Drosophila melanogaster: one gene and its partners. The protein of the gene in region 1 interacts with the protein of each later gene in a pairwise test. Each region holds a gene or a part of one and is shown in the gene's direction. Other genes may lie near its edges. The genes, in order: Crtp, odd and CG14711.

Evidence for each region.
Region 2: the proteins of Crtp (region 1) and odd interact in a two-hybrid assay, tested with the Drosophila melanogaster proteins (one large-scale study listed by BioGRID).
Region 3: the proteins of Crtp (region 1) and CG14711 interact in a two-hybrid assay, tested with the Drosophila melanogaster proteins (one large-scale study listed by BioGRID).

Annotation. Positions count from the first base shown.
Region 1 is NT_033778.4:24,489,939-24,500,808, forward strand, and holds Crtp (Caldesmon-related protein), read left to right. Parts: upstream 1-4,579; 5' UTR 4,580-4,667; coding exon 4,668-5,460; intron 5,461-5,512; coding exon 5,513-6,957; 3' UTR 6,958-7,086; downstream 7,087-10,870. Other genes in the region: CG13589 (uncharacterized protein), read right to left, coding at 2,276-2,422, 2,484-2,801, 2,858-2,917; CG13590 (uncharacterized protein), read right to left, coding at 3,318-3,521, 3,574-3,891, 3,951-4,010; Ssl (suppressor of Stellate-like), read right to left, coding at 9,478-9,604, 9,665-10,186, 10,244-10,254.
Region 2 is NT_033779.5:3,599,574-3,610,347, reverse strand, and holds odd (odd skipped), read left to right. Parts: upstream 1-3,591; 5' UTR 3,592-3,989; coding exon 3,990-4,062; intron 4,063-4,248; coding exon 4,249-5,354; 3' UTR 5,355-6,124; downstream 6,125-10,774. UniProt on the Drosophila melanogaster protein: Pair-rule protein that determines both the size and polarity of even-numbered as well as odd-numbered parasegments during embryogenesis.
Region 3 is NT_033777.3:11,618,160-11,628,169, forward strand, and holds CG14711 (uncharacterized protein), read left to right. Parts: upstream 1-5,179; 5' UTR 5,180-5,251; coding exon 5,252-5,386; exon of another isoform or gene 5,387-5,441; coding exon 5,442-5,567; exon of another isoform or gene 5,568-5,626; coding exon 5,627-6,135; exon of another isoform or gene 6,136-6,143; intron 6,144-6,195; exon of another isoform or gene 6,196-6,197; coding exon 6,198-6,332; exon of another isoform or gene 6,333-6,390; coding exon 6,391-6,501; exon of another isoform or gene 6,502-6,558; coding exon 6,559-6,676; 3' UTR 6,677-6,789; downstream 6,790-10,010. Other genes in the region: CG14710 (uncharacterized protein), read left to right, coding at 2,051-2,185, 2,244-2,986, 3,049-3,294, 3,356-3,479; Zaf1 (ZAD and architectural function 1), read right to left, coding at 3,566-3,785, 3,856-3,990, 4,048-4,697, 4,756-4,878; CG6813 (uncharacterized protein), read right to left, coding at 7,352-7,466, 7,539-7,784, 7,844-8,256, 8,317-8,427; CG18764 (uncharacterized protein), read left to right, coding at 8,835-8,951, 9,007-9,893, 9,967-10,010.

The DNA of each region.
Region 1 (10,870 bases):
AATATGAAAGATAGCACCTATCCTCAGATATTCCACTCTTTATATAAAGTAATCTGTGTTGGTTATAACCTGAATGATTGCTGTCCATCTGAGAACTTTCAATACCATTAGCTAGACTTTCTTTACTATACATGGATCTGGGGAATCGGAATTAGCCGAGTTAAGCAGAAGTTAACCATAGTAAGTGTTCATTCAATGTTTGTGATACCCTAAGTTTCCCAGCCCAACATACATACCTACCAGTAACATATAATATAATCCTAGTTGTTGTGCGTGCGTCGGCTAAATTAAACGTAGGATATATGGAAACAGAGATATCAGACTTTCCTATCAGAACCCGCTCGACATTCGGAAGCCCTTCGCCAAATTCTCCACCACTTAGGGACTAAGGATCTACGTAGACTCTGATATCGGCGGACCTTAAAGCGTTGTGGTTAATCATAGTTGTAGTTCCATAGCTCGAGTCGTATACACCAAATTACTCACTGTTCGACGAATCAAAATCAAATCCTAACTTTGTGATTGTCAAGAATTTAAGTCGGTTGATGTGGACATTGCTGTTAAATTAATTTTTATTTGTAGCTAAGTAATTGACTAGTTAAAGCCAAATAAATTTACCGTTTAAGTAAGTCTAACTTTAGTTAAATAAACGAGCGGTGTGTAACAAATGTATTTCATAGGCAGAGGATTCAAATCGAAATAAATAAATATCCCTAAAGCGATTTGCATAAAGTCTCGTTTTTCCTTGGCTCTGTCTCACTCAAAAGGTAATTTCGAGGCAATTATGCCGAAAGCGTCGAAAAAGAAGCCAACAAATGGATCCCAGAACGAAACAGCCGCAGAATCCCAATTACACAAAAACATCGACAACTTTCGACCGAAACGCTGTAAATAAATTAAAAATTATTTAAATTTGATTTTTATTGTGCCACGAAGCCCCCGCGCCCCAATTCCCGGCACCACAAACCAGATGACAACAAGGCCGAAATGCAAATTAATATCGCACACTGCGCTTAGATTTCCATTTGGCCCGCAGGACGAAGGTACAAAAAAGGACGAGGCCGTCAGAAATGCAAGATAAACGGACGAGAAAGTTTGAAAACTAATTTTCGCAAAACAATTTTCAGAGGCCGCGTTCGCCTTCCCTTGCCCGTCTCGTCCAATGGTTTCTTTGGACAATTTGAATCTCAAACTAAATCTGGATGTGGATGCGGATTCTTTGCGTTTCTTCCGTGCCCAAAAAATTACACGCTCCGCTGCATTTTGGAACAATAATCGCCGGTGTTTGGCATCTGACCACGCCCTCAGCGCCCCCTCGCGAAATCCAATCCCCGAAAACCATGAACATTTTGGGTGCAGGAATTCACGCCCAGCTCCGGAAAACTTTTCGCATGAAAGTCAACTTTCCTTTTCCCTCTTGATTCCATTTGTGTGCCATCTGAGTTTCCCTGTATAATTTGACGCCGGCCGGAATTGGATGGAGCGCCATTTGCTTTACCCGGGTTTTTGCCTAATTTGATTAACACTAATTGGGGTTCATCTAATTGCGGATGGCCAGCATATCATGTGCTGCTGTGGAACAGGTCCGGTCTTCAAATACGATTTATGGCGCCAATTAATTGCGGGAGTTATATGAAAATAGCGCAAATAGAAGCTTTCTCTCTGTAAATGTTTAGCGGGATACAAAATGTTTAGTGCGATACAAAGTACGCGAGCTAAATTGACCAATTAACAATATTTTGGCGTTATTTCGAAATCAATATCGGTGTGCTAATTCTTGCATAAAGATTTGCGATTTGTATTATTCTGTGCGATGAACCGGAACCCAAACAAGACCTCCTGAATGCCATTCGCGTAGCTTTTCCCAGCTGGGCTGATGAACCAGCTAGGGAAAACTGATGGAAAACTAATCGAGAAACAAAGGGATTAACTAGATCTAGTCTTATTTGGCAAGAAATCATGTTACTGGCTACCAAATCCCTGTAATAACTACCATTGCGTCGAACTGAAAATTGTTATTATTACAATATTTTCCCACAGAACAGTTGATTTTTCCATGGGATTGATGGAGTAAGAAGTCTCCTGTAGGAGGTGGTACTGGAACAAAGAGCATTATAATCTCGATCCTTACTTAACCATATAGTAACAGGGCGATACATAATTAATAAAATTTCTGATGATATTTACCAAGGGGTGAAGTCACTTTCGGGCCATCTAAACATTCGCAGATATCAGAGAAAAGTTTGATTACAAATCGCTTTCAGATTGGAACTTTTCACATTCCCTCCACAAAGGTGAAATATACATTCGTAGCGAACTGTGGCTTGAAGTCGAAGATCCAATCAAGTAGAAGTAAGTAGTCTCCAGACGGAAGTGGAACGGGAACATCAATGTGATGGAAGTCGCTTAGCATCTGCAAGCCCTGAAATATCCAAATGCAACCCGACGAAATTGGGCTAAAATACGTCAAACTACGATCTCACCTCATAGGGACAGGTGTGGTTGACCGTGGATACGTTCTTGATCATGTTCCAAACGATTTTAGCGAACGGCTGGTTGCGCCTTCGCATAAACTCACAGGCGTCGAAGGTGTAGTCGAACAAAAAGGGCTTATACCCATTGGCCTTCTTCATCATCTTCATGTGAAGGTATATGTTTTTCGCTGGTTCTATGAATGTGGCATTTATGTTCAGGCTGGTCTTGGTTCGGGAATAGGCCTTCAGGCGACAGTAGTGAACAACCACCCACGATTTGTTGTACGACTTGCACACAGCATTCGTCATTTTAGCAAGGGGTGCCTCCTGGGGGAAGCTTTCAAGTATTTATAAAATATATAATATGTTATTGGATCTCTTACACCGCAGACCAGAAAGCCAAGTATTACCGAAACAACAAAAGCGGCCCGCCTACGATTCATGGCTGTTTACCACTCCGTTGAAAACTGACGGTGTACTGGTAAATAAGCTTCATTAAATACAAATTTTAGTTGAAACCCTATTAGCAGATGTGGTAAAAACGATGTATCATGGAGCCATTCGACTGGAAAATTACGTAATGGTTATGTATGTACATCGAAGATCATTATACCAGTTGCATATATACTTCTGTTGGACGCGTGTGAACTTCTGAGTCCTAGAAAATAAATCTATACTTTCCATTTTACAGGATCTACTTCCCTTTCAAAAACCAATGTTCTCGGGAACTGAGTTGTGAAGTCAGTTAGTATCTGAGTAAAAGGGTCTCGATGCAATTTTTGTTAGTTATTCAAATTCTAGTGTCGTTACAATTTTCGTATTTTTGTGAATAGCAACCGAATATCAGTTCCGTAAGACGGGGAACTCCTTACTGCCCCTTCTGTGCTTCGAGCTCGTCGGCAGTAAGTCCTCTATAAATGTGAAATATACATTCGTGGCGAACTGCGTTTTGCCATCGAACAACCAGTCGACCATTAGTAGATAGTCCCCAGATGGCAGTGGCACAGGAATGTCGACTTTGTGAAAGTCGCTCAGCATCTGCAAGCCCTGAAAGATGGAATGGGTTATGTCCCTAAATAGCAGTTTGAGGAGACCTCACCTCATAGGGACAGGTGTGGTTGATGGTGGACACGTTCCGGATCATGTACCAGATGATCTTGGCCACTGGCTGGTTGCGCCTTCGCATGAACTCGCAGGCGTCGAAGGTGTAGTCGAACAAAAAAGGCTTATACCCATTGGCCTTTTTCATCGTCTTAAAGTGAACTGATATATTTCTGGCCGGCTCCACGAACGTGACATTTATATTCAAGCTGGTCTTGGCTCGAGAATAGGCCTTCAGGCGGCAGTAGTGAACAACCACCCACGATTTGTTATACGATTTGCACACTGCATTTGTCATTTTGAGATAGGGCGCCTCCTGATGGAATGTGTAGCTTTAATTGAAATGTAATTAGGTCCTACAATCCGATTTCTTACTCCGCAGCTTAGATAGGCCACTAATAGCGAAACGGCGAAAATGAAAACCTTGTGATCCATGGCTCTTGGTCGGTCGACCACCCGTGGATAACTGACGTAACCTGGCTCTTTAGCTTGAATATGTGTTCTATTTTTGATCAAATTGAATTGATGGTTAAGTGGAGAATGCGTTTATTACATTATCATTAAATATCGATTTAAAACGGTTAATAAATGTTTCAATAACACCAAATGCAACCAGCCAATACACTTTTAGAGGCTGGTACTGATCGAAAACTCGAAACCACTTGACACTCGAAGTAAGTTAATATTCCTCTAAATAGGTGAAATACAAATTCGTAGCAAACTGCGGCCTTAAATCGAATAGCCGGAAGTGGAACATGAACTTCAATGTTATGAACGTCGCTTACCACCTGCAAGCCCTAAAATATCGAAAAATATTCCGACAAACTGGATAAAGTGACCTTCAATTTTCACTTGAATCATCCATCTATTCTAATTTGAACTTGGCCATTATTTATTCTTTGCGCGTAACCCATGCAGAAAATAACAAAAGTACCTAGGTAAATCGATATGGAAGCACAGTAGTCCAGGTGTTGACATATATTTTGTTTATAAGCGAAGCTTTCCTGTTTTCTGAGGAGATCATACATACAACACCCTTGCCGAATCAACAACATTACGAACTGATCCTATATTCATGTTGCCATAGCCAAAATGAATGTGTGCAAGCCCAAGGAAGTGGGTCCCGATGGACTTTTTGTCCGGAAGCGCTTTACGCGGCATCCGGTGGTGATCTCGGCCAAGCGGTTTGCAGCCATAAAGGGACGTTCTCGCCAGGATGAGAAGCATGCCCAAATGGAGGCCGTCGAGGAGGAACGCAGGTATCGGCAGTACCTGAAGGACGGCAACGAGCTTCTTTGCAGCCTGTTCACAGATCCCAATGCTCCGAAGGTCAAGAAATCAGCTAGGGCGCAGAGCAAGGAAGCCATGGCAGTGGTAAAGGATGTGGACACAAAGTTGGCGGACGAGCGGCTGCGCAAGCAAAGGATCTTGCGAGCCAATCGTCTACTGGATCAACTGAAGCCCGGACCCCGCGCTCTGCACCAGGCGCTCATTTACAGCGAAATGATTCATCAGAGGAAGTACAATGAGGCCCTTAACGAGGAGATAGCGGAGGCAGCCCGTGCCCAGGAAAGGGCCGATGAGGAGATGTGTCCTGCGGCCCTGGTGCCCTTCGGCCACGCCACCGAGGAGGAGGAGGTGGCCAGGCAGACCGCGAAGAATATGGAACATGCCGAGCTCATGCGGGCGGACATCGCGCAGCGGGCAAGGATCAGGGAGGCCGAGCGGGAGCAACGGGTCTTCGAGGAGCAGGTGGATCGGGCTCAGTACAAGTGTCTGCAGGACAAGGAGGAGAAGGCGCTCAAAGAGAAGAAGGCCCGGAAAATCGCCTTCAATCGAAAGGCCTACAAGGAGGCCCTCCAAGAGAAGGCGGAGATTGCAGAACGTAAGTACTATTTAGCAGAACTGGATATATTCATATTATTCCTCATCCCCAGACGAGCGGATTTGCGACGCCATTGACGACCGGCGCAACTGTGTTTACATCGTGGCTAGTCGCAATCTGGACAGTCGCTATGGAAGCCACGTGAAGCAGCTGCGGCAGAAGCGTCAGGAGGAGAGGGAGCTACAGGCACTCCGTGTCTCCCAGGCGCAGCAAGTGCTTCAAAAGAAGCTGGAAGAGCGCCAGATTGACGCGGAGGACCGCCATGCCTTTGAGACGCAGGTGGACGACAGCCGGCGTCAGTGCGAAAGGGAGATGCTGGCCAAGGAGCGCCGTGCGTATCAGAAATTGGAGCGGAAGCAGGACGCCGAGAAGCTCCGCCGCCAGCAGGAGCTGCAGCGCTTCCATGTGGCGCGCCGCCTTAAGAACGCCGAGGCGAATCGCTTCTTCGATGCCTCTCAGAAGCGAAAGAGGGACAAGGTAAAGGAGGAGCTGCGCAACGTTCTCTTTGGCCAGCGGGAAGAGTTCCTCGAGAAGCGGCGCGCCGAGCTAATGAACCTGGCCGCCTGCAATGAGGATCCATACCTGGAGGATGACAAGAAGTTCTTTGAGCAGGCGGTCGAGATCATGGAGGAGTCGAGAAAGGTGGGGCGACCTCTCTATCCCATTGCCACCGCCGTAGATCGCTACGAGCGGCAGAACCAGCTGGACATGCGACCAGAGGGCAGGATGGTGAAGAGAAGCAGTCTAAGGGACTACTGCTGGCCAGGATTCTTTTCCAAGGCGGAACTGGCGTACCGCAAGTACGAGCAGCGGGAGAAGTGCCGCGAGGAGCAGGTGGCCGATCGCCACCAGATTTACTGCAACTCGGTGAAGATCAAGAAGCTGGCCGAGGTGGAGAAGCCATACATTCCCTGTGTCGCCTCCTGTCCCATCAATTGCTTTCACCGAAGGGGAATGCCCGACACGGACAGCAAAGAGTCCTTTGACTATGGCCGTCATGTTTGCTATACGGATACTCCTACGGTCGCCGCTTGTCCCGGTCCCATGCAGGTGATCCACAATGACCCGCTGGATAACCAGAGGAAAATCAGCCAGCTTTCCATGAAGCTGCCGCCCATGCCGGACTTGACCAAAAGTGTACAGCCCAATTTCCGAAGTGTTGTGGGCAAGGCTTTGACTACCCTCAACAAACCAGACTTGGCTCCCAATTCCAGGGAATCAGGTTCCAGCCTGAAAGGTCCTCCTCCGCTTACTAGTCCACCCATCAGCACATCCAAGCCCACTGCACCGGAACCAAAACTTGCCGAGGCCAAAGATGTGCCCCTTCCCAAATCCCAGCCTCCAGTGAGAAGTAAGATGAAGAGGAACTCCAAAAGAGCTGGTTCCGCGGTGGCAACTCCTCCAACTGGTAACGATAGGCCAGCACCCGTGCCCAATCCCACTGGAACCTGGGGATCCGGATCCCTACAGCCAGATTCAAAGAAAAAAGCCAAGTAACCAGGAATCATCGCATCCACTTTAACAAAATTTACGTTTCTCGGTCTTATTGTATTAATGTTTTCCGTTGGCAAAGATAAATATAGAAAAAAGGATGCTCGGCCATCATCGAATGGAGCCAGACAGCTGAGGAAATGACGTTAATGGTTTTTTAAAAGCACTTAAACTTGGCGCAAAAGGACTTCTCTTCCCCTTTGCCAGTTTTCCATTTCCTCTGCCATTTTCTCGGCGAAGTCGGAGGATTGGTGAGTAACCCTTTCCAGCGACACTTACGCGCTTTGTTTAGCGCAGAATCTCCGGCGTAGAGTGGCCGGCTTCATAAATTCCCATTAATGCGTGGCCAAAGTTATTGGGTTACGACCTCCACCCCAGGACCTCAAAGACCTCCTGCTTCATCTTCATCAACTTGCGGCACTGAGTGACATCCATTTTTGTTTTCATTTAGCTTATTACCGGGCAGACATGTCCGGCGTTCCGCCCGTAACTTAATTTGAGCTGCTAACCAGGCTGATGAACCCAGCGTCCTCCGGCGGAGTGAAGTGGACTGAGTGTTCCGGCCGGCCAATCTCGCCGGGATAATTACGGCCGTGTCCTTTCTGGAGCAGGCCATCCGTCCCAATGGGTTAATCAGCCGGCTCCTAGGACTTTGCAGCTGTCTTTCGGGGCTTGGTCAACCGCTCGGCTCCAAATTAACGGAACCGCCGTCTTACTCTCCTTTGGCAAGTTTGCAAAAGTTGCCGCCTTCCAAAGTTAACCAATTTAGTGCCATTAACCATAAATTGCTGAACCGCTTAGCCCGAACGGGGTTAATAGAGGAGAGTCTTAAAATTACGTCAACTATGCGAAGTATGGACCGATTGTCAGCCAAAGAGATAATGAAACATTTGAAGTCCCAATTTGGTTGCATGCAACAATGGATATAGTCTAGGGAATAAAGAGTCGAGGGGGGAAAGTTAATGACCTGAGTTCTTAAACTATATGTATATCTACAGCAGAGCAAAACAGAAATGCAGTTTTCGATTGCTCCTATTTATTTTCTATCTGCATCGGATTAAAGTCGTACTTTTTCTTGTGCATTCCACAGCCCAGGAATCATTCGTAAAATTGAAATTCTAAAGACCTCGTTCGAATTGTATTTATTGTGTGCCCAGCGAAGGGAGTCAAAATATTTTGAAAAGCCTGTACACAATAATATTTCAGTGGGGGCTTTTGCGGCACTCGGAAAACATCTTTCTGAAAGCGGGCAGGGAGCTTGGTGGCTGGGTATTCCCACTGGGCTCCACTGGTGGATAGATGTGGTGGAGCCTGCGGCGATACAATCAAATACCCGACCATTCTTGAAAACACACTGGCGGAAGAATGGAAACACAGCTGCACCAGGAACAGAGTTTCCAATCGGGTGCAGACACTTTGTTTACAAGAACAGCAATCGGATTTGTTTGCCCACGCGGACCGACGTGTTCCGTCTGAAATTGGATAAATACGTGGAAAATGAGACGGCGAGCTGTCTTTCTGTATTTCGATGGGGTCTCTAGAAATTACTATGAATAAGTAATGGCGGATGCGGACAACAGGTGGCAAAGAATCCACAAGGTCCCGCCAGAGAAAAGGAATCCGAGTCCAGCCACATTGCCATCTCGATTGTAATGTAAAACAAAACGCTCGCATCCTGCGCTTTTTCATTTTCCCGCGTTTTCCACCCACCAGACATTCTCATTATACGGTCCGCCAGTTTAAAACTCAATAAAAGCTGCAGTATGAATGATTACTTAATGAAATTAAGTGTGAAAAGTGCGAGAAACAGGGTGGTGGCGCCATGGAGAAAAGCGGAAAAGGCGCTCTTCTCCACTCGAAGGAAAAAGGCGTCGAGTGGCGTGGAAAACTGAAAATGAAAGCGCCAGGGCGGCAGTAAATAATAATAAAGGCATGACTTATTGGAGATGCCAGCGGCAAAGGATCGGGAACAGGAACAGTAACAGGACGCGGCTCCTCCTGCAAATTCACGAATCCCTGCCCACGCCTCGGCTCAACGTAATTCCCATTATCGGCTTAGCAGGTTGTGCCGCCAAGTGGATTTTTATTGCGAAGTCCAGCGAACTTAAGGAGCACGCACACAGGGATGAAATATAATCTAACTCAACGTTTGGAGTGTAGATCCTTAATCCTTGTGCACTTGATGCCAATTCTCGAGTAGTAGAGGATCCTAATTATATTTAGACCGTGCAACAGAACTTTCCAACCATTTTCTCGCAGTGTCTGACAACACTAAGCGGATGAATAGGCCGCTTAAAGCTGCTTCACTTCCGAACTCCCAGGTGATTACCACTATTAACGGCAAGTACGCTTTGCTTTTCGAATGACTGCTTGATATGGCCAGCGTGGACCGAATGGTGTGAAGTGTTTAGGGCAGAGAGAGTGCACCCATGTGTTAGTGGTCGCTGGCCATATCAACGCATTGGGGAAACTGTTTAATTGCAACAACAGACCAAACCAACATTTGTGTGCTTTGTTCGTGTGGAGTTAAAAATTCGGGACATTCCTTAGCCAGGAGGGCGACTTGCTGACCGAGGATTCGACCTTTATTGGCGGGGACTCTGCTGATTCGGGCGGCATCAGGGCCTTCTTGTGCAACTGGAAGCCATAGATACTGGAAGTGCAAGTGCTTTGTGTAGAAAAGAACAAGGATTATATTCGAAGAATTACTCACCGGGGGATGTACTTCTCCACGGGCGGAGAGGGTATCAAGCTTGGCAGCTGCATAAAGAACATATGCGGGAAGCTGGTCCCGAACATGGCTCCGTCCAGCATTCCATTGTGGGGTAGCGGGATGTAGACGTTGTTACAGCTAGGGCAATAGATCTTAACTTGGGCCTTGTCCCACACGTCGTGAAGGCCCACTGGCAGGACTTTCTGCCTCTTACAAAAGACTCTCGGACACGATCCGAAGTCCCCCCTTTCGTACTTTAATCGCATATCTTCAATGCCACGCGGCGAAACGATGTACCGTGCATGGATCATGCCATACAGCTTCTTCTCTTCGGCGCAGTCCCAGTCCTCGTTGTCGAACTCCGGATCTAAGACTACCTCCAGTGTCTGGCTATCGAACTCCAGGCCCGTCAGATTGAACTTGTCCTGGATGTATTCATTGGGCACCCGGCAGGAGAATTCGTGGCCCTTGATTCCCAGGAACCAATCGATCCAACTGCCATCTGGTATCTCGATGCTCCTGCTAAAAGATTTTGGTGTAATTTGCTATGATTTTTATAGGAAAAACCTAGTTACTTACGGACACGACATGCTCACTCGAATAAAATATAATGAAAAAGTACAGTGCAAAATGACGAGACCTACTATTTCATAATGACAGACAGCTCAGTGACAACAATTCAAATGTCAGGGCTGCGACAGGGCAGCAGTGTTCCAAACCCTTTATCGCCCGAGGACTCGATGCCCTTCACAAAGACCTCAAACTCGTCAAATCGGCAAGGCTAGCCAGAAGCCTGGCTTTCTTGGAAGCCTAGGCCGCAAAACACGTCTGTAATGACCAGAACGTAGTCCTGATGCTCCAGTTGCTCAAGGGGAAACGAAGGGTGCGGTGCTCCACTATTGACATCATTGATGCTGCCCTGATGAACCCTTCAGGCAGGTCATACCCTTATAACAGCATACACCTTAACCCATGAAACCCACTTTCGGTTGAAGCACTTGATTTCAGGAAATGAGTGGGACTCAACTTTGAACGGCCAATATGACAGCCTGGGGAGCCCAGTGTAGGTGGAGCAGGAAATCGCAAATGGAACTCACGGCGAAAAAATCGACAGTACTTCTGCAATGGGAAAAGACCTGCTTTAATGTAAAGATGCCTTCAGAAAACAATGTTCTTTACATCAGGATCAAGGAGCATTCCTTGGCA
Region 2 (10,774 bases), on another chromosome or scaffold:
AATTGCAAATTGCCTTTGAACGAAGCCTTGAACCGAGGCTTTTGGCCCTTTTCCATCTTGATGCCTGAGAAAATTTTGCTGCATTATACGAGTGCCCGCCCCTCCCCCATTTGGGGAAATTATATAAAATTGTTTCTAGAGAGCGTAAATGGCGTACTGAAATCTGTAAGGCATAAAATCTATAGCTCTGTTACTTACAACTTGCACGGATACCTTCATCATATACATTTGATTCCTAACTGTGATTTTTTAGTAGAAGTCTGGTTATAAAACACATTTCCTCACTACTATTACTTCCTCGAATGCACCAAAAACTACGATGACTTCTTTCAGTAGCCAAAAGACGTTCGATTCGAAGGAAAAACTTCGAGATTTCCCTACAAGTGAAGGTCACCAAGTCGAGATTCCCAAAAAAAAGAGCCCTACTTTATTTTCCACGGCTAATATAAAAAGTGATTTTGGTGGAATAGCGAAACCCCTGGCATATGGCCCACTAAAAAGTCATTTTACAATTATTACCGATGACTTCGCGCACTGCGTAGCTGACATTTCTGCTCTAAAAAATCTAATTTTATTCGTGGAAACACGAAAAAATACCATAAAATATGCATGGCAATGGTCCAAAAAAAGAGCAGACCAAAAAAAAAAACAGAAAGAACATTGCTAAAAACCGGGTCACAGTCCGGAGATCCGAGAGTCAAGAACCAAGGGTCTTCTGCGAAGTGTCTTTGGGCGATTTTATGATGCCAAAGAAGCGACTAAGTAAGTTGTCATTTTCGGTTTATGATGATTTTGTGATTTTTTGCTCTCGTTGTTATATTTTTTACGCTCTACATATTTGTACTTCGATTTTCGATTTTTTTTTCGCAGGCCAGGACCTCCGCAAAACAATGGCAGACTACTAATGTCGAGCAGGCCGAGAGTTTTATAGTTTTTTATGGCTTTATGGCCGAGCCAATGACTTCTTTATTGGTGCAGGTCCTTGGCGCGGAGGAAGCGTTTCAGGTCTTTCCAAATTATTTTTTATGGCCATCGTTCCTGCTTTCCGCATCCCTACGATTTGGTTTCCGTTTCCGAGTGTCGGAGGATCTCTCTACTATAAATCTCGCGTTTTCCACATGCAAATAGTGGGACATGTGTTTCCCCCGGGAGAGGGCTAATCCTTTTGGCCATGTGTTGACAGGCGCAACAACAATAGTAACAATATTAGTAACGACAACAAATGGATATAGCAGGAAGTCAGCCAGTGCGATGCCATATATCATGTGCTGGGAAATATTCGGCCTGTGTCTTTCATGTGTCTCCACTCCGCTGGTGTTTATCTATTTATTTATTTATTTGCCTTTGTACACTTATGACATGATGTTAATTACCGCTCGCGACTCCACAGGCCGAAAGGCAGGGAACCGAAAGGGTGGGCGGAGTCCGGGCCGTCACTTTGAAATGGAAAAGTTCGCCGACTGTTTGCCAACCGTCAACAGCGGCGACAATTGCCAAACGCCGAGGCTAAAGCTAACCGACACTGGCAAACCGACGGTACATCCGATCCGATGTTGGAACGGATCGAAAATCAAAAATCGACAATCCGAGAGTTCCAGACACACGCACTCTGGGAAAAAACGTCCTGCAGCAGGACCTTTGCCTATTGATTCAGGCTGTTTGATCATTGGCTCGCCGCCGCTTGGGAAAGTTTGTACTAAATGTTGTGTACATATTGCTTAATTTAATCACCCAAAGTCAATCCTGCCAAGGACCGCTTGTGACGGAGTGTGTCGCAATGGGCTTAGTCTCAGGATCCTCGGATCCTAAGTCCGTATACGGGTAAAACCAGTCAATGGGAATGTTTCTTGTTTTGCCAAGTTAAAGGATTAGTCGCAGATCCATTGCGGAAATGCTTCACCTGGAAAGTCGACAAGTCAAAGTCATGGGAATGTACGGAATTCGGAAGCAGGATAATAGGATATGCATTATCCATGTTTTGTCGGACTTGGGAAATATCTTATAGTTGGCGGAAAATCCAACCGAAGAATAGGATTTAATTCGGAAGCATAAATATGGCATGTGCAATTTAAAACTATTCATTAATGAGGAAAATTCGTATTTTCTTGAATGCTATGAAATATTTGTCTTTTTAAATGAGATATGAAAAATATTAATTATATAGAAGCCCGAATAATAATAATAAAAATTGTAAAGATATTTAACTACAATATCCTATAAATAACAACTACATTAATTTGATGCTTCAATAAATTTTGATTGGAAACATTCAACCCGCAGAACTTATATCTTTTAACCTTTTCCTATGACTTTACCTATTTCTAGTTTCCAAGCAATTTCCTTCAAAATATGTTAAGAAAACTGCCCATAAAGTGCACCTGCTTGTCTCGATTCAATTACAAATTATTAAATAATTATCCAAGTGAGTAGCATGAAGCATTTCGAATGAGGAACTCATTAAAGATGATTTGACAAGCTCGAGTCGCACTTCAGTTGAAAACGGTGAAAGTTCAACTATTACTTAACAACTACTTAAACAACTGAATTACAATAAATACAATACTGAGTAAAATAATTAAAAAAACTCGAAAATAAATGGTGTGTGAAAGGCATACCCAAAACTAACCAGTAATTGTGTACAATCCTTTTAATAAAGTCTTTCAATTACATTACCATTACCTCAAACTCGTCGTTAATTTGCTGTAAAATATGTCCGGCTTATCCTGCCGGAAACCCTTTTAAAAGCCAATCAATTTTCGCTACAAACGGCCGTTTCCACCCACTCGAAACTTTTATCGCCATCGCTTTGAAGCGGCTAATTGAATTCCAGATTAAAGTGTAAAGCAAAATGGGGGGGAATAAAAAAAACTGATTTGTATTGCAAATTAAAATTTAAGTGAAAACGAATCAGGCGCAAACACAAACAGGGACAATAGATTACAATATCCTGCGGCGCAGACAGCACGACATTAAAAAGGCACGAGGAGCAGCGAGAGCTGGCGCGGAATGGGTATGGACATGGCAATGGAGGTGGAAGGGACGCGCCAGGACGACACAGGACCTTCGTGCAGCTGCTGCTCCTGCTGATGGCACATGCGCCTGGGAGGGCTGCGTTTCGGGATTGGGACTGGGATGCGGGCTGGACTCCAGCGATGGCTGCCTGCCATCAGCGGCAGAAGCAGCAGCAGCAGCAGCAGCTACAGCAGCAGCAGCAGCAGCAGCAGCAACGGCAACGGCAGCAGCAGCAACTACGGCAGCAACATCGGCAGCAGCAGCAACACCAACAATATCCCAGGCTTGCGACCGTCAGGCCAACGGTTTCCGCTTGCTTACTGCTGGAACGGAAAAAGCCAAGGCACATATATCCATGCACATCCACAGGCACATTCGGTCGGAGCCACATCCATGGGATAGTAGATACCGAACGCTGAGGGCCAATCCGAGAGCAGCAGGTAGGCGTGGACGTATCTACCATTTCCAAACAACTTCAACCCCGCCACAGGCAGCTGCCGTTGGTCGGGCCGCTCGCCACCCTCGTCGCCCTCCTCCGCACTTCTCGGCCGGTTCAAAAACGGGTCGCCCTGCCAGCAGTTGCAGTCAGTTATTAACGAGCGCTACTCCCAACAGCAACATCGCTCAGCGGCAGCAGCAGCAGCAGCAAAAGCAAAAGCAAAAGCAACACTAACAACAGCAACACGAGTCACTCAAACGTGGAAGCGAGACAGGAATATCAGCACTCCACTCGCCTCGTTTCACTTCGATTCTCAAGCGTTTGAGTCGGAGAGCGGCGAACGGCCAACGAATTCAGTTTGTGTCGAGACGTTGTCGGTGGCACGTCGCATCCAAAAGAACGCTCAGTCAGCTGGGAAATATACTGAGAAAAGATACATTCGTAGATACAAGTGCTAAGCCAAAGTGAACCGTGCAGTTCGCGCAACTAAACAATTTTAAGCCAAATAAAACTACACAAGGCCAACAAAGACAGTATAATGTCTTCCACATCGGCCTCACCCATCAGCAACATAACCGTGGATGACGAGCTCAACTTAAGCAGAGAACAAGGTGGGTTCAAGTTCAAAACTGGCTCAGAACAACTTGGCAAATGCCGACGGCAAAGCGCATTACTCTCTAGCACTTTTTGACTAGTTTCAAAAAATGTTCCATTAATATTTGAAAGTAGTCTCACATAGCATTGCATTTATATGAATTGAAAACTAACCGTGGGCATTTCTATTCCTTCCTTTTTAGACTTTGCTGAAGAGGATTTCATAGTGATCAAGGAGGAGCGCGAGACAAGTCTCTCCCCCATGCTGACGCCCCCGCACACGCCCACCGAGGAGCCGCTGAGGAGAGTGCATCCGGCGATAAGCGAGGAGGCGGTGGCCACCCAGCTGCACATGCGACACATGGCCCACTACCAGCAGCAGCAACAACAGCAGCAACAGCAGCAGCAGCACCGCCTGTGGCTGCAGATGCAGCAGCAGCAGCAACAACATCAGGCTCCACAGCAGTATCCAGTTTATCCCACAGCCAGCGCCGATCCCGTGGCCGTGCACCAGCAGTTGATGAACCACTGGATCCGCAACGCAGCCATCTACCAGCAGCAACAGCAGCAGCAGCAACATCCGCACCATCATCACCACCACGGCCATCCGCACCACCCTCACCCACATCCGCATCATGTGCGTCCCTATCCCGCTGGCCTCCATAGTCTGCATGCCGCGGTCATGGGTCGCCACTTCGGAGCCATGCCCACCCTGAAACTGGGTGGTGCCGGTGGAGCGAGTGGTGTACCCAGCGGCGCAACTGGCAGCAGTCGGCCAAAGAAGCAGTTCATCTGCAAGTACTGCAACCGGCAGTTCACCAAGTCGTACAATCTGCTCATCCATGAGAGAACCCACACGGACGAGAGGCCTTACTCCTGCGACATCTGCGGCAAAGCCTTCCGGCGACAGGATCATCTGCGGGACCACCGGTACATCCACTCCAAGGACAAGCCCTTCAAGTGCAGCGATTGCGGCAAGGGTTTCTGCCAGTCGCGCACCCTGGCCGTGCACAAGGTCACCCATCTGGAGGAGGGTCCGCACAAGTGTCCCATCTGCCAGCGGAGCTTCAACCAGCGGGCCAACCTCAAGAGTCACCTCCAGAGCCACAGCGAGCAGAGCACCAAGGAGGTGGTGGTGACCACCTCACCAGCCACTTCACATTCGGTGCCAAACCAGGCATTGAGTTCGCCTCAACCTGAGAATTTGGCACAGCATCTGCCTGTCCTGGATCTATCCTCGTCATCCTCGAGCTCAGAGAAGCCCAAGCGGATGCTGGGCTTCACCATCGATGAGATCATGAGCAGATAGATTGAAGGACCAGCGAAACCCGGTATCCGGTTTCTTTTGAGACATTCTAAAAGAGATTCAGAGAGCTGGACGTCCGCCAGGCATGGGAAATGCCTGGAATGGAAAACCAAGCGAGTCCAGCCCGCATTCTGGCCAAAGGTGCAAGTGGAAAATCCTCGCCAGCAACTCGTAATCGCAACCCAGTGAGCAGAAGAGTCATCCTCCGTGCAATCGGTTCTATGTAGCAGATCCCAATTGCGTTAAACAAATGCCAAAGTCAAATAGCAGAGGAAAACTGATGAAAAATCCAATGAAAAGTATTGCTAGCACAAGCCTCCTACAAATCGATTCCAAAACACACACACACACACACAACTGTAAACTATAAACTTTAATAAATAGCACATAATTTATATTGTAATCTAACTATTATTGTATGTACCTTATAGTCGTAGTAGCCCATTCAGTTCGTAGTGCTTATGGAGTAAACCAAATGTTATGTTACAATAGCTCAATCAAACAAACCTCAAACCCGCTTTGGTTATTGAAAGACTGTTTTAATTATTATATTTAAATAGTACTTGAATAAATCAATCGATCGATTGTGTAATGTTAAACCCCGACGAGTGTCATGATTACTTACTGTTTAGACTTAACAACTTAATTGTCGCTATAGCAATTGTGACTATGCACAACGATCTCATTGTCGTCTATATGTATGTCTGAAACATTCGTATTGATATGAAGTTATCACAAAAATACGTAAATATAAACGCAAAGTAATTTTCAACTGAAATTTAATAAGACTTTTTATGAATACGGTGGATTTTGTGTTTCCAGGTATTTGGCAATGGCAATTTCGCCTTGATTTATCATTACTTCTACTGGCAACTTGATAATCTTTATGGTGTACTAAGTTAAAGTTATCTGAAAAGATTTAAGCAGCAATTTTTTGATTACCTTCTACCACCTACTGACTGATTCAAGTTCCAAGCGGACTGAATGATTTTGATCTACTTTTAATCACTTTGAAATCTTTCTTATCCGCTGACTAAATCCCACGCCATTCCGATTTGGGAATTTTCTCATGCTGCGAATATAACTCAGTAGACTGAACTCGTAGGACCATATAAGTTGAACCATCAAACAGCAGCTGTCAAAATTTATTAACCATCCGAATATAACTCAGTTTTTATGCAGATCTCGATTTGCGCATTTTTAAGCAGCTCTATTATTTTTCAGGTTGCCGATTAAGTAAGCAGAAGTCTCGCCACCAAAAATATTCAAACTGTCGCAGAAGTTAATTTATGAAATCGAATCGAATTGAATTTGATGTCAGTTTTGCTATGATTTTGTCATGAATCGGTTTCGATTTCGGTAACACTATGGTTATTGTTTAACTTTGAGGTGTGGTCCAAATATTTATGGCCTGTGTTTCAGTTTTGGGTTTAGTTCAGTTTTCATTGTGGCTTCTCTTGAAAATCGGGAACGTGCCAAATGCCTTGCAAAAGGTATGTTTGATTTCCTTTAATGGTGGTTTTCTTTTCTAGTTTCTTCCATTGGCAATTGCATTTCTCTTAGCACGCTTCTTACTCAGAACTGTCAATTTCAGATTGTGATCTTTGTCTCAAAATCGAGCATAGGATTGTCTTTAATTGAGGCCTGAGGTCGTTCTGGTTACCCCCGGGGGGAACCCGCATGAGGGGTCTGCATCTGCCTCATTTGCTGCTCGATTTCCATTTCCATTAGCATTTCCATTTTCCATTTTCTCCACCTTGATGACATACTCTCGGGCCTTATGGCCATGTACAATTGATTTGGGCCCTCTCATTGTGTTGGCTTTGATTTGCTTTGTTTTCGTGCCAGAAAAGTGCCAACGTATTCGCCAATTGATGTCTACATAGATGCCTTTTTTTTTGCCCAGGATTACTTTTGACAAGTATCCTGGCCGCGCCCCCTTGGCCATGCATATCCTGCTGACTTTGGCCAAACCTTAACCTTAGTCTTATCTGGCCGAGTTGGTCGGGTGGTCAACCGTAGGACTTGTGTTCCGTGTTTTGCAACACTTCGCCGCAGGCAGTCTAAGGACCTCGAGGATCTTGGTGTCCTGGCATTTCGACACACCTTGTCCATAATTGCACTGCGTACAACCAAAATATTTTGTGAAAGTCACAGCGGGAGGGCGAGTTATCCCGACCAGATTGATATGTGTCCGCATGGGGTTGTGAGTCCCTTTTTTTTTGGGCCATTTTGAGCCACAATTAAACGCATCGGTTCCGCAACTAGGGTGGCATGCAGCTCCGTGTCCTGTGGATGTCCTGCCATTGTAAATTGTAGTGGCAGGACGTGCTGGAAAGTCGCCTGCCAAAAGTGAGCCATTTACTGCCACAGGGGCAGTCTCCTCCTATTTTCTGCTCCTACCGAGCATGCAATTTTAATGAGCTGCCCGGGGGAAAAGGAAGGATCGGCATAGGGGCACATCCCATTGTCCAGGACACGTTCGCACTTGGCCCTGTTCGCCTTTGGGCCGGGACCACCCTGAAAAGCCAGAATGATGATGTTGTAAGCCGGTTGGTCGACAGGTCGGCTGGACGACTGGTCAACTGGCCAACTGGTCAACTGCTGAGGTGTTCAATTAAAACGTTGCAAATCAATTTGCCATCGAATCGAATCGAGGACACGCTTAAAATGGCCGTTGACAGAAACACTCATAGATGATGATGACAGCATTACCGCAGTAACATAACTCGAAACCCATCTAAAACTATACAAGAGTTGTCAAGTGAGCCAAGCCCAAAAATATATATACAAACAAAACTTGTCTCTCGTAATTGTACATTGTCTAGATTGTCAGCTTTAAAAGTGGTTTTGATATGCCGACATCGCAACGCCTTTTGGCTCACAGCCACAGACATCGCATTGCCACTTCACCATTTCCATGCACTGCGATTTGAATGCTTTTAGGAGGATCTTAACGAAAGTTAAAATAGTATTTTATTACTACGATTGTGTACTTTTAACTATTAAGAATTTGATACTAGCTTTACGAAAGTGGAACCGTTAAGAAATGGATATCTAACATTTAACAACAAATGACAAATATGTTGGTTACCATCAATATAAATCACAGCTAATGTGAAAGTGATTTGCATAATTCGGAAAATGCTATGTGATATATGTTCATATCAAGGGCAACATTAATCACTTCCCTTTCTCATAGTTTAGATTTAATGGAAAAATTTATATTGGGAATAAAAAGTCGCACAGTTACTCATGCTGGTTCTTATCAAAGTATATCATGAGCACTTGCTTGGAAAGTACTTATACGCAACCACTTCATAGGACACAACTATTAGACATCATACTGCAATCAGCCCTCTTGAAAGCCCCCCAATTCGTTTAGGCCACCCTTTCAGCCACGTCTCTGCTAAACAGCACAACACTTGATTGTTGCACGTATGTTCTTTTTTTTTTGTGTCGTTGTTGACTGTGGCGCACAGTAGTCGCATGTGTCACAATGTCGCAGCCTAATTGCACTACACGCGTAGTTACTTAGGGGAAAAAGATCGGAAAACTCGGCTGACAAGCCTTTTCTCCCCTCTTCGCCGTCAGGCGACGACACTAAAATTGGTGGGGAGATACTCAGATACACCGATACCTAGATACTTTGGCGCGCAGATACTCAGATACTCATATACTCATATACTCGACTGAGAACCTACGACGAGCACTCGAGGCGAGTTCAATTTCGAGCTCACTGGGTGGTTCGTTTTTATGGTCGTCGCCTCTATCGATCGGCTATTTTGACACTTTTGCTTAAGAAGGTGTTTTAAATATAACTTACTTAGGCCCGAACAAATCTTAACTGGCCATAACAAAAGCAACTGTCTGGGTGTTGGCACTGAGAGAAATTACTATGGCATTATTGATTTTCAGCTGTTTTCCAGCAGCAATGGATTTCTGTTAAAATTATCCTTTAAAATTTAATTCGGAAGGTTTTGGAAGGATTTTTTCAAGTGAATAAGATTTTCAATTTGAGTACAATTTTCCGAGTGCACCTCCAACAATTTAATCGCCTGAGGCCATTTTTCTGCCCCGACTTTTCCACCTTATCAGCCCGGCTCAATCTCCCCGAGTCAGTGCATTAATTGACACCTAGAAGTGGAAAACGAAACCGGAGAACCCTGCAGCCCAGAAGAAGATGCCTGGAGACAGGGGACTGTGCTGTCAATTAGGTTGCTGAATTTATCGCCGGGCACAAATCAGTTTGGGAAATTGGTTAGCCCCGAAAATAAAGTTAGCCGGGCTAAGAGAGCGATCAATTTTATAGACGGACAGCCGACGGGCATGGAGGTCCCTGGAAGTCCATTCGATAGGGGGATCTGGATTTGGAATGGGACTACCTCCTACTCCTCCCAGTGGGAACTTAATTGAATTACCAGGGAAAAAAACCACAGATAAAAGTGGAAACACCTCGGTATCAAGTTAGTTAGTGGACCATCCTCCATGGACTTGACAACTCTTTTGTTTGTTATGCCTGCGTTTTCACTTGTTGTCCGTTGTCTGTTTTATTTTTTATTATTTCATTCTCGGCTCTTTGACATTTTAATGCGCCCGCTGGCTTTGTGTGCTCTGAGCCCTCTGATGGTGGCCACACAGCAACAAAAGCGGGCCAATGGTGTGATGGCCATAATCCGATATAAATAAGACATTATAAGAGGCTCCCCATCCTAAGCAGGATCTTCGGCGTGCCCTGGGAACGTATACACTACAATTCCCATTCTCATTCCCCTTCCCATTCCAATTTCGGGATTACAAGGAATCGACGACATGTGGCGCTCAAAGCTTTTATTTATTTGAGCGCTGGAAATGACTAAACCTGATCACAGCGATTGACTCATGGACCACCTAACTAGATAGAGCTCTCGGTTCGTTATGTCCTGCCATCAGTCATCCTCGAGTGGCTCAGCAAAATCGAAATATCGCGGGAAGTGAAATCGTAGGTGTTAGCAGGGGTGGAGTTAATAAGTATCAGCAGGGTATTGGAGTTAGTTGGAGTTATGATTGTATAAAGAGAACTTTGAACATACGAAGCAATATTTCTAGGAGCAGCCACTGGTATCCACTAGTATATATTCTTTATCGTTTTCACTTCATGTGGCATAAAAGAAACCCTTACCATGAAGTTTCCCTTTCAGAGCCCCCAAAACACCTACGCTCCTGTTGATCCGCTGGCAGTGTTGATCGATTGGTTTCATCGATTATGGCACAACAGTCAACAGTCTCGGCCTGGTCTGAATGTTTATTTGTTTATTTGTTGTGTGCGCCGCACGCAAACAACACGGATCGGGGAATCGGATTGCCAAGGGAAACGGACAAAACACATGATCAATTACAAGTCGGGGCAGGTTCCCCAGTTTGCCAAGTTACCAAGTTCCCAA
Region 3 (10,010 bases), on another chromosome or scaffold:
GTGTCCGGTGGGCAGGAGTGTGCCCTTAATCACTGGCCACCACTGTGGCAGGGAGTGACGAAGAAACGAGAACGCCGCCATCGACTCCAATTGCAATTACTCATCATCTATCGCGCCAATTATTCGTAATATAATGATAAGTGCGAACCAAAACAGCTGCCAACAGATTTCCTAGTGACTCAAGGAGGTCATTTGGAGCAGGGCTCGCATACTTGGCTAATTTACTCATGGAATCCGCAGATGTGGCAAAGGTCAAGTGCGTAGGAACTAGTTTTCACAAATAGCCAAGGAGTTGATTTTTAAATTTACCGTTTAAAATTAGATTGTTGCTTTATAGCTGGGAAATTATCTATAAATTTCCATGGCATTTTTATGTTACTGGAAATGAAAGAATTCCCTCCTACGGATAGAGGTATATGATCTCAATGCACAATTTACACAATTATTAGGATATGTTCTGATTATAGAGAACTAATCGTAGTAATTTAACACTATAAGATTGCTTATAATGGCTTTAATTTCTGTATATATACCAGGAAGATAAATAGAGAACGACAATTAAACTAAAAACTTCAATTTCTGAGTAATTAGTTTAGAAATTGGAAGGCATTCAATAAAATTAACGATATATAGAGTATCGTAAGGCCCATATTTTATTGATTTACACTTTTGAGTGGGCCCTGTACAGTTTGCCACAGTTTTTCGCCTACTTCAGCTAGTTTGATGGCCGGCACAATGGTGGAGTGATGACCAATTTGAAAACTGGCACAGAGAATGGAAAACACAAAAACAAGCGCCACCTCGGTTGCAGTCATAAAGGCATTAGAAGAGGGGAGCGGTGCGGGGTCAGGGTTCGAGATGTCCATCGGCTGATGTGCTAGATATAGTATGTGATATATGTACGTATGTACATATAATAATGTGGGCGGGGGAGGCAAACTGGCACACTTGCTGACATTGCAGTGTGCACTTAACTAGAACCACCACTGTGCAGTACTCACACACACGCACACAGTCAGAAATGCCCGTGCATGTACTAACTACTCAAAATGGTCATTTTCCCGGTTGCAGCTGTGAGAAGTGAGGTCCTATATTGACAGCGGGGGTTGCCTACGGAGCACACATATCAAATATCGGTTGTTAAGGGCGTTTTCTAACGAGTCCATAACAGACGGGAAATGGAGTTCCGAAATCGAATAGGAATCGTCATCACAATCCTTGCCGATCCAAAACGAACAGTTCACCTAACTGTTAATCCAATAAAAGATCAATACACGCATTGGGCGAATAGAGCTGCGAAAGCGCAAAAGGAGAAGGAATTCGGAACGGAAGTAGGAAGAGAATCCGCGGTGGAAGCACATAATAAAACCAACGGAACGTTAAAAAAAAAAGGAAGAAGCAAAGAACGGCACTCGGTGTTGTTTTTGCAAATCTGCAAATCCCAACCAATACCATCGTGTACACCCACACGCACACATGCACACGCGTAGATTATTTTTCAAATATGCCGGCAACTGCTCTTGGTTTTGATTTGATGTACTTACTTGCTGCTGGCCTGATTATCGGTGCAATCAAAGTTAGAGATCATTTTGCCGCTGTAGCCGCTTATTGGACGATCGGTAACGATTAAATGGAAAACTGGCACACACGTAACAAAGTGAAACACACAAAATGCAAGTGGAAATGCACAGAAAATTGCAGATGCCGCGGCACGTTCGTTCAGTTCGAAAGGCGAATTAAGTGTGGCTGCCGCCGAGCCGCTAAATCACGCCGTCGGCTCGAAAATGAAAGGCACTAAATAATACCACAGATGCAGTGGCGGCGCTATAAATAGTTTGAAGGGGCTTCAGTATTTTTTTTTTAGCTTTTTCGTAGCTGATAGCTAGTTTAGGCTTAATGGTAACTTTAAACTGAAATGTATTTAAAACACTTGTAGGTATTTTTTTCATGGCAAATGCGGTCACACAGCGCAGGTCTAAAATTGTTTAAAACTCATTTAATTGAAATTAGCCTTAATTTCCAGCCCCCTTGCAAAAAAACGCTAGCCAGGATGGCCAGCTTGCCAGTGATTCTGCAATGCAGGATCTGCTTGGGCGATTTCGAAGAGAGCCAAATGATCTGCCTGTTTGGGGATAAAGGCGAAAGTGACCTCAGGAAAAAGTTGGAGCTGTGCTGTAGGATTAGGGTAAATGGAGCTGACCAGATGGGTTATATGTATCATTTCATTACTCCAACTCCCCCAGGTTCGCCAATCCCCGCAGCTGCCCGAGAAGGCCTGCAACAGCTGTTGCGAATTCGTCCAAATGTGGTTCAACTTTCGCCAGATGTGCCTGAACTCGCAGGTCTACTGGGAAACAAGTTCCTCGGAGAGACCAGAGGCTCTTGCCCAGGCAAGCGATGCCGAGTATATGTTGTATCTGTACGAGAACCTACATCTGAAACTAGGCACAGAGAATCAGGAGAAGGAAGAGATCACCGCAATAGAGGAGGGGGATGAACAGCAGGAGGATCAGTCCCAGGAAGTTCTCGATTTTAACGGATTTATCATAAACGAATCGATTGAGGAGGACGAAGAGCCTAATACGGAAAGTCCTGAGCAGATTCTGATTTCCCACATGGACTCCTACGTTGATGATCAACAAATGGAAGAACTCATTGATGATAAGGGTGAGCTTGTCGAGGAATTATCCAATGCAAACACGTTTTATGAGGTTGAGTACGGGGACGAGGAACTTCTCATGTCAAGCGCTCCTTCGCCACATCCCAGCTTCAAAATGGACAAACAAAAGCCGGGAAGGCCTCGCAAACCGGACGCCGAACTGAAATTCAAACGCAAGGATATCAACGCCAAGGAAAGGGGGAACCAGCCAAAGTGCAAGGAAGAGGAGAAGTTCATGTGCATCCTGTGCGGAAACGTCTTTTACAAGAAATCTGTTTTCACGGCCCACATGATGACCCATTCAGAGTACAAGCCCCACCAATGCGAGTAAGTGATATTAAGGTTTAGGAAGGAACAAATTTATCCTACAAAAATGTTATTGCTTTCAGAATATGCAATAAATCTTTTCGACAAATGGGCGAATTGCGAGCACACATCCGTCGTCATACGGGCGACCGTCCATACAAGTGTATGTACTGCGACCGCCACTTCTACGATCGCAGCGAACGGGTCCGCCATGAACGGGTCCACACCAACACGCGTCCTTATGCCTGCCAGGAGTGCGGGAAAACTTTTACGCACACAGCCATCCTCAAAAATCACATCCTTTCGCACTCCGCCCAAAAGAATTACAAGTAAGGGAGAGTAATCCTTTCTAGTGATTTGCACTTTTTATTAATAATTTGAACTTTTCAGCTGTGGTATCTGTTGCAAGTCATTCACTCTGCTGCACCAGCTGAAAGCTCACCTGCAAACGCTAACCCACCGCAACAAAATGGAGCAAACCATTCCCAGCTCTCCGGAAATGTTAGAGAGCTAATATAGTAAATTAATTGAGGAACTAGGGTTATCTATTATAAGTAGTATAAAGCCACTTTTCCAGAATAGACCAGCTATTTTTATTAACTATTCTACCACGTCGCTGTACTCCTTAGCTATCAGACGGTGCGCAAGAGACTTCTCGTGCGCTGTAAGTTGGTGCTTAAGCCGAAATTCTTTTTTACACATAAGACACTTGTGAGACTTTTCAGACGAATGCAGGTAGTAGTGAGCGTTACGAGAGGAGGACAGAGAGAATGTTTTTCCACATATGTTGCAAGCATAGGGTCTTTCATTCGTGTGCAAACTGAAATGAAGAAATTCAACATTGGAACTTAAATGCTGTACACAATATATATAGTTTTTGTCCATTCTACCGTTCGTGCTTGCGATGAGTGCTGTTGTCGGCAAAACGGCGCGAACAGTAGCAACATTGGTAAGGTTTCTCGCCCGTGTGCGTCCGCATGTGTGTTTTCAGGTTGCAGGCGGCTCTGAATGTCTTTTGGCAAACCCTGAATCATACATTTTATATATGAAATATTATGTTAAGATATATCACGGATACTTACTCGCACTGGTGGTCCTTTTCCTTGCGGTGCACCTGCGAGTGTGCATTTAGCTGAGATAAGCAGCGGTATGTATTGCTGCAGATCTTGCATCTGTACTTGTCCGGCTCGCAGGCCACTCCTAGATCTATCACGTAGTCGGCACTTGGCTCTAGATTATGGTAATCCTCGCTTGTCTCTTGAATACTGTCCGTAGCAGCGCTGCTTTCTTGCGAATACGTTTCGGAGTAATTTTGATCGGAGATCTCCCTGTCCAAATCCATATCACTGATGGTATAGTCCTCCTGGTGTATGTCTTTCTCGTTTTCCGCATTCACGTTGAGATCGAACACGAAATCGCTTGAAAATTTATTTATGGGTAAGATTTCATCATCTTTGGTCGTTTCCAATGCATTCTCTTGAGTCTTAAAGTTAATAGGATTCTCTTCGATGAGTCTCCCCGAAATGTTCTGCTTCCTGGCGCGTTTTTTCTGTTCAAGCTGGTCCTTATCCTCCAGCGTCTCAAATGCCGATGCGGAGGACAGAGTTTGACGAACGAGGCTTCTCAGGTGCGCGTCGGATTGTTTGCACGCGCTAAGAAATCTGTCCACCTCCTCCAGTTGCATCAAGCAGACTGTGCAAATTTGATCCGGCAGTCCATCATCCGGTTTCACCTAGGAGAGAGGATTTGTAACTGGTAAACTGGAAGCCAAACAGAAATCGAGTACTCACAGATGTGCCGGCATACGAGATCAACAGCTTGTGGGCATTGGACTCGAAGAGCGACTGCAGCGTGGATTGCGTTCCTTTTTTGCGGCAAGTGCGGCACATGCTCCATTTAATGCTGATTTCCATCGTTATTTCCGCAGGAAGTCCCTCTTTCGCGTCAAATGCCGATTCAAATGCCAGAGCAGTGAATTAAAAGTAAAAGGGTTGTCAGGTACGCGGAATTAGTAACAGTTTTCAACTATCATTCCAAATTTTTTTGCATTTAGTTCTAAAACTGTATTTTTATTGCGTGACTCAAGCTTAAATATTTAATAGGGCCCACCTGTTAGTTTAAAAAAAAAAATTAAGATTTAATTATTATCAATTATTCAATCGATATGCCGATAGCAAGTTCGATAGCCATTTATCGTTTTGCGTACATGACAACCCTGGGAAAAGTTCCAAGACGCTTGTTTATTTCAGAATTGCAAGCATACGTACGTCCAGGACGTGCAAGATAATGCCCGAGTACATGTTGTGCCGAATCTGCTTGACAGAGGACATCAACTCGGAGGCGATGGCGCCCCTGTTCGATGACAACGACGCCCAGTGCCGGGAGCTGGTGCGCAAGATTGAAGAAGTGGGCAGCATAAAGGTACATGTGGATGCAAATGTAAAATCCTGCGACTTAACCCACTCTGTGCTTTCAGCTGGTGCCGCTGCAGAACATCCCCAGTATGTTGTGCTACAGCTGCGTGGAGCGACTGACCAGTGCCCACAAGTTCCGGGAGCTTTGCCAGGAGAGCGAGCGCACATTTGCCACCAATGTAGTCAAGGTACGTATAGAGTTGATGGGCCACATATAAACATCCCACTTGACCCGGTACCATGTCAGGCCGAGATGAAGTCGGAGCCAACGGACGAGGTGCCGCACGTAGTGGCTGACAACATTGAGTACATCTACGAATCGGCCAACGACTTCATCGACGGTGTCGAGGATGACATCGGAATGGAGAACATCATGGAGGAGCCCCTGGAGGATGGTGTCGGGGAAACGTCGCAGGCCTACGAGACTAGCACTGTAGTGGACGACCTGGACGAGGATGACTTGCTGGTGCCGAATAGCACCGATAGCGACTACCAGCCCATCGAGCGCTGCCGCAAAGCTAAGGTGCGTAAAACGCGGATGACTAAACGTGGACGTGGCCGACCTCGCGGTGCTAGCTCCGGACACCCACGCAGTTTTAGCGAGGAGCGTCCGCCTGTTCAAGCTAGCTTCAAATCATCTCCCGAAGTATCCTCCACGAACATTATGTGCGAAATCTGCGGCAATATCTACTCCAAGCGAGCCGCTCTCAACATTCATATGCGTCGTCATATGGCCGAGAAACCATTTAAATGCGAGTGAGTATCTGAAATTATCATCTGAACCATTTTATATTATGTAAATCTTATTCCGCTTACAGAATATGCAGCAAATCCTTCGCGGGTCCATCCGAGCTAAATCGCCATATCCGCGTTCACACGGGCGAGAAACCATTCTTGTGTAAATATTGCAACCGCTCGTTTGCGGATCGCAGCTCCAATATTCGTCATGAAAGGTGAAGATGCAATTCCTCATAGTAATCTTCATATAAACTATACTTGTTCCTTTTGCAGAACACACACAAACGAGCGACCTTTCACTTGCTCCACATGCGGCAAGGCATTCTCCTACTCTAACGTGCTAAAAAACCATATGCTCACCCACACGGGCGAGAAGCCTTTTCTGTAGGTCCATTGACTGCTTTAATCATGTATAACCCTAAATTCCCTTTAATTTTTCAGCTGTCGAGTCTGCAATAAGACCTTTTCCCGCAAGCACCAGTTGGATCAGCATTTGGGCACCATGACCCACCAACAGACTGTAATACACCACAAAAACGAACGGACGGGGCGCTATTAGTCGAAAACAATGCAATACAATTTCTGTTAGATAATTCATTAATGTACATTTAATTATATATAAAAATTGTAAAATAAAAAAGAGTACAAATGGTCAGACCGGATGTGTAAAATAATCGGATTTGATTTATTACTATTTGGTTAAAGAACTTGTTCAAAAACACAAATATTTTTTGTAATGTTTTTTATTACGTCCATATATTCGAGAAAAAAATTGGAACACGATTACAATCTTTGATTTTGTGCGTTTATTTGGTAGTTTTAACATCATTTTGGCCATTAAATGAGTGTGCGTTTTTTATTGTTTCTTTTCTTTGTGCTCTGTCGAAGACTTTGTTACCGTTTGTGGAAGCTACAACATGGAATAATAATCGAATGGCACAGGATTAATTAAATCTTCTTTTTTTGGACAAGTAAATATGTTTTGTTTTTTTAGGTTTATAACTTGTAACGTTTTACATCAAAATCTAAAAACGTTTGGAAGTCGGGAGGGATGCGGCTCTTCTTCTATTCCTTAGGGAAACAAAAAGTAAAACCAAATATGCTAGATATTCGCATAAAATGGATTTATGCGAATACCTGTACTTAAATGTACGTCTACCTTGTTAAAGAAAAGGACGCGGAATTTTAGAATTCTTACCGATAGCTAATTAGTGTAATGGCTAGATAGGCAGCTTCATTGTTCAATGGCTAGCTCCGTGAGTTTCTCTTCTTTGCGTTTATGAATATTGCTGGACAGGTGGGTCATCAAATGGGAGATTCGTTTGAAGTGCTTCTGACATACGTAGCAGCTGTAAAATCAAAGTGTGTTGAAACGTGTAATACAAATAATGTGCAGAGTTGGCAGAAATCGAAATGCCCACTAGTGATTCCGCGCATCCACATGGATCATCTTGTGCTTCCTGAGACATCCGGAGCTTACAAAACTCTTTTTGCACGTGTCGCACTCGTAGCGGCGTTCGTTCCGATGGCGGCGATGGTGCTCCTGGCGAGCGCCTGAAGAGGAGAACCGACGTGGACAGTAGACGCACACGTATGGCTGCTCGCCCGTGTGGATACGCGTATGGCTAGTCAGTTCCTTTCGAGTTGCAAAGCTCCTTTCACAATTCCTGAGGAGAAAAATCGTATCTTAGGTGCACTAGCCCAAAGGAGGTTAAGGATAATTTACAAAAAAACACAGTGGAAATTCTTGATGCCTGTGTGCCGGAGCGTGTGCTCTTGAAAGTTTGACTTATTGTTAATGATCCTTCCGCAATCAGGGCATACATATGGACCAGTACCTCCTCCAATTGACTTTTGATGGTTCAAACTAGTCGGTGCTGAGACCTTTTCAGCACTTGGCATTGGAAGATCTTTGACTTCAGGACATAGAATGGACTCGTCCAACTCACTCTCAATTTGGTTATCATCGATGTCTTCGTATATTATTGGATCTGTGGAGCAATCCTTGCTGTCGCACTCAATCCTTTCCAGATTCTGTTTCTCGGCAATGATGCAGCGCTGGCGGAACTTAATGGCTGCCTGCAGATTGTCCAGGCAAGTCGTGCACATTTGGCCGGATATTTCTTTCTTGCAGCTTAGCTGGAAAGTATAAATAGCAAATTAAGTGCCATGATTAAGGAATATTTTTAGACATATTACCTCCACCCCAGTAATGGAGTGAATTTGACGAACTAGATGACCGTTTCCTGGACCAAAAAGGTCTATTGGGGCATCTGATCTAGAGCAAATGCGGCAATTCAGAATTCGCATCTCGACTTTGATTTGTTTTTGAATAATTGTTTACTGTTTACGTTTCGAGCAGCTTATGCGAAATGTGTCGTTAAGCTATTTGCATGGTCACTCTAACTTTTGCACGCATAAACGCTGTTTAGAGTTTTTGCACAGGGATTAGTACCTTATGAAGTAACATAAATACAAATATGTTTTATAATCTCATTTAATAAGAGTACCATAATGGTTTACTGCACTTTTTAAATCATTTAAGTCACACAATGGCATTGCCGCACTTATCGATTTTGTCGATAATAAAACCAGCTGTTGCATCACAATATATATACATACATATGTGTAGTGGATGCGTTTACAAAACAATTGGTTGTTTATATTCGAATTAAACTGAAGTTGGGCTAAACTTCGGTTGATTTTCAACTAACATTATGGCGCTCCAGTGCCGGACCTGCGGCAGCATCATCTACAATAAAATGCCCAAGAATCTCTTTCATATTGAGAACGAGAAGATGCTGCAAGACATAAATCTTGTCACTGGCACAACAGTATGTAAGAAAAATGGTTTCCATTTGATTTGTGCAGCATTTTCTGTGATTGCAGCTCCACAACGATCCAGAGCTGCCCAGCAGCATATGCGCCTGCTGCACGCTTGACTTGAACCAAGCGATTTTGTTCCGGGAGCGGTGCATCCTAACGCAGAAGCAGCTCGTCCATCGTCGTAGATCTCCCGAAGCGAAGGAACCGGCTGAAGATGTTGAGGAGATGGCATCACCGCCGGATTGTCTGAACGATCCATTCGGGGAAGTCGATGAATACATTGTGGAATCCCCAGAAGAAGTTTTGGATCATGATAGTGATGCTCATCATGATCTGGATGAGGATAATTATATTGATTCTGTTGAAGATGTTGATGCGCTTCAAGATATGGCTGAAGTAGCCGAAGAGGATTCTCAAGATGTCGAATCTCTGATCTCAAGTGTACAGAAAGAACTTGAGAGCATTTGCAACGACGACAGCAACTCGGATAACAACGATTACATGGAGCCCCAAAACGGTTCCTATTTCAATGAAACTATAAACGAATATGAAGTATCATCGAACCCAAACACACCGCTGCCCGAATCGAAGAGTGCAGCAGGTCGGTCAACGAAGCCAGCGACCACAAAACCCAAGCGGAAAAAACAGTACGTTACGTGGAAAAATATGACCGAGGAGCAGATCATAGAGCGTAAGCGACTGCAGCGTAAACGCGAGTGTGTTTGCGAACAGTGCGGCCGGCAATTCACCGACCAAAGCAATTTCAAGCTTCACATGCTGCGGCACACGGGCAATAAGAACTTCGCCTGCCAGCAGTGTGGCAAGCGGTTCTACACCGACCATCTCATGACGCTGCACCAACGAATCATTCACCAGGGCGAGAAGCCATACGACTGCCGCTTTTGCACCAAGTCCTTTCACAATAGCAACACTCGCCTCATCCACGAAAGGTAAGGGACGTATCCTTGTATCCACTACGGATTCGGACATTTCTGAGCTCAAACCAAAAAAAATCCTTTCTAGGACTCACACCAATGCCAAACCCTACAGCTGTCATCATTGCGATA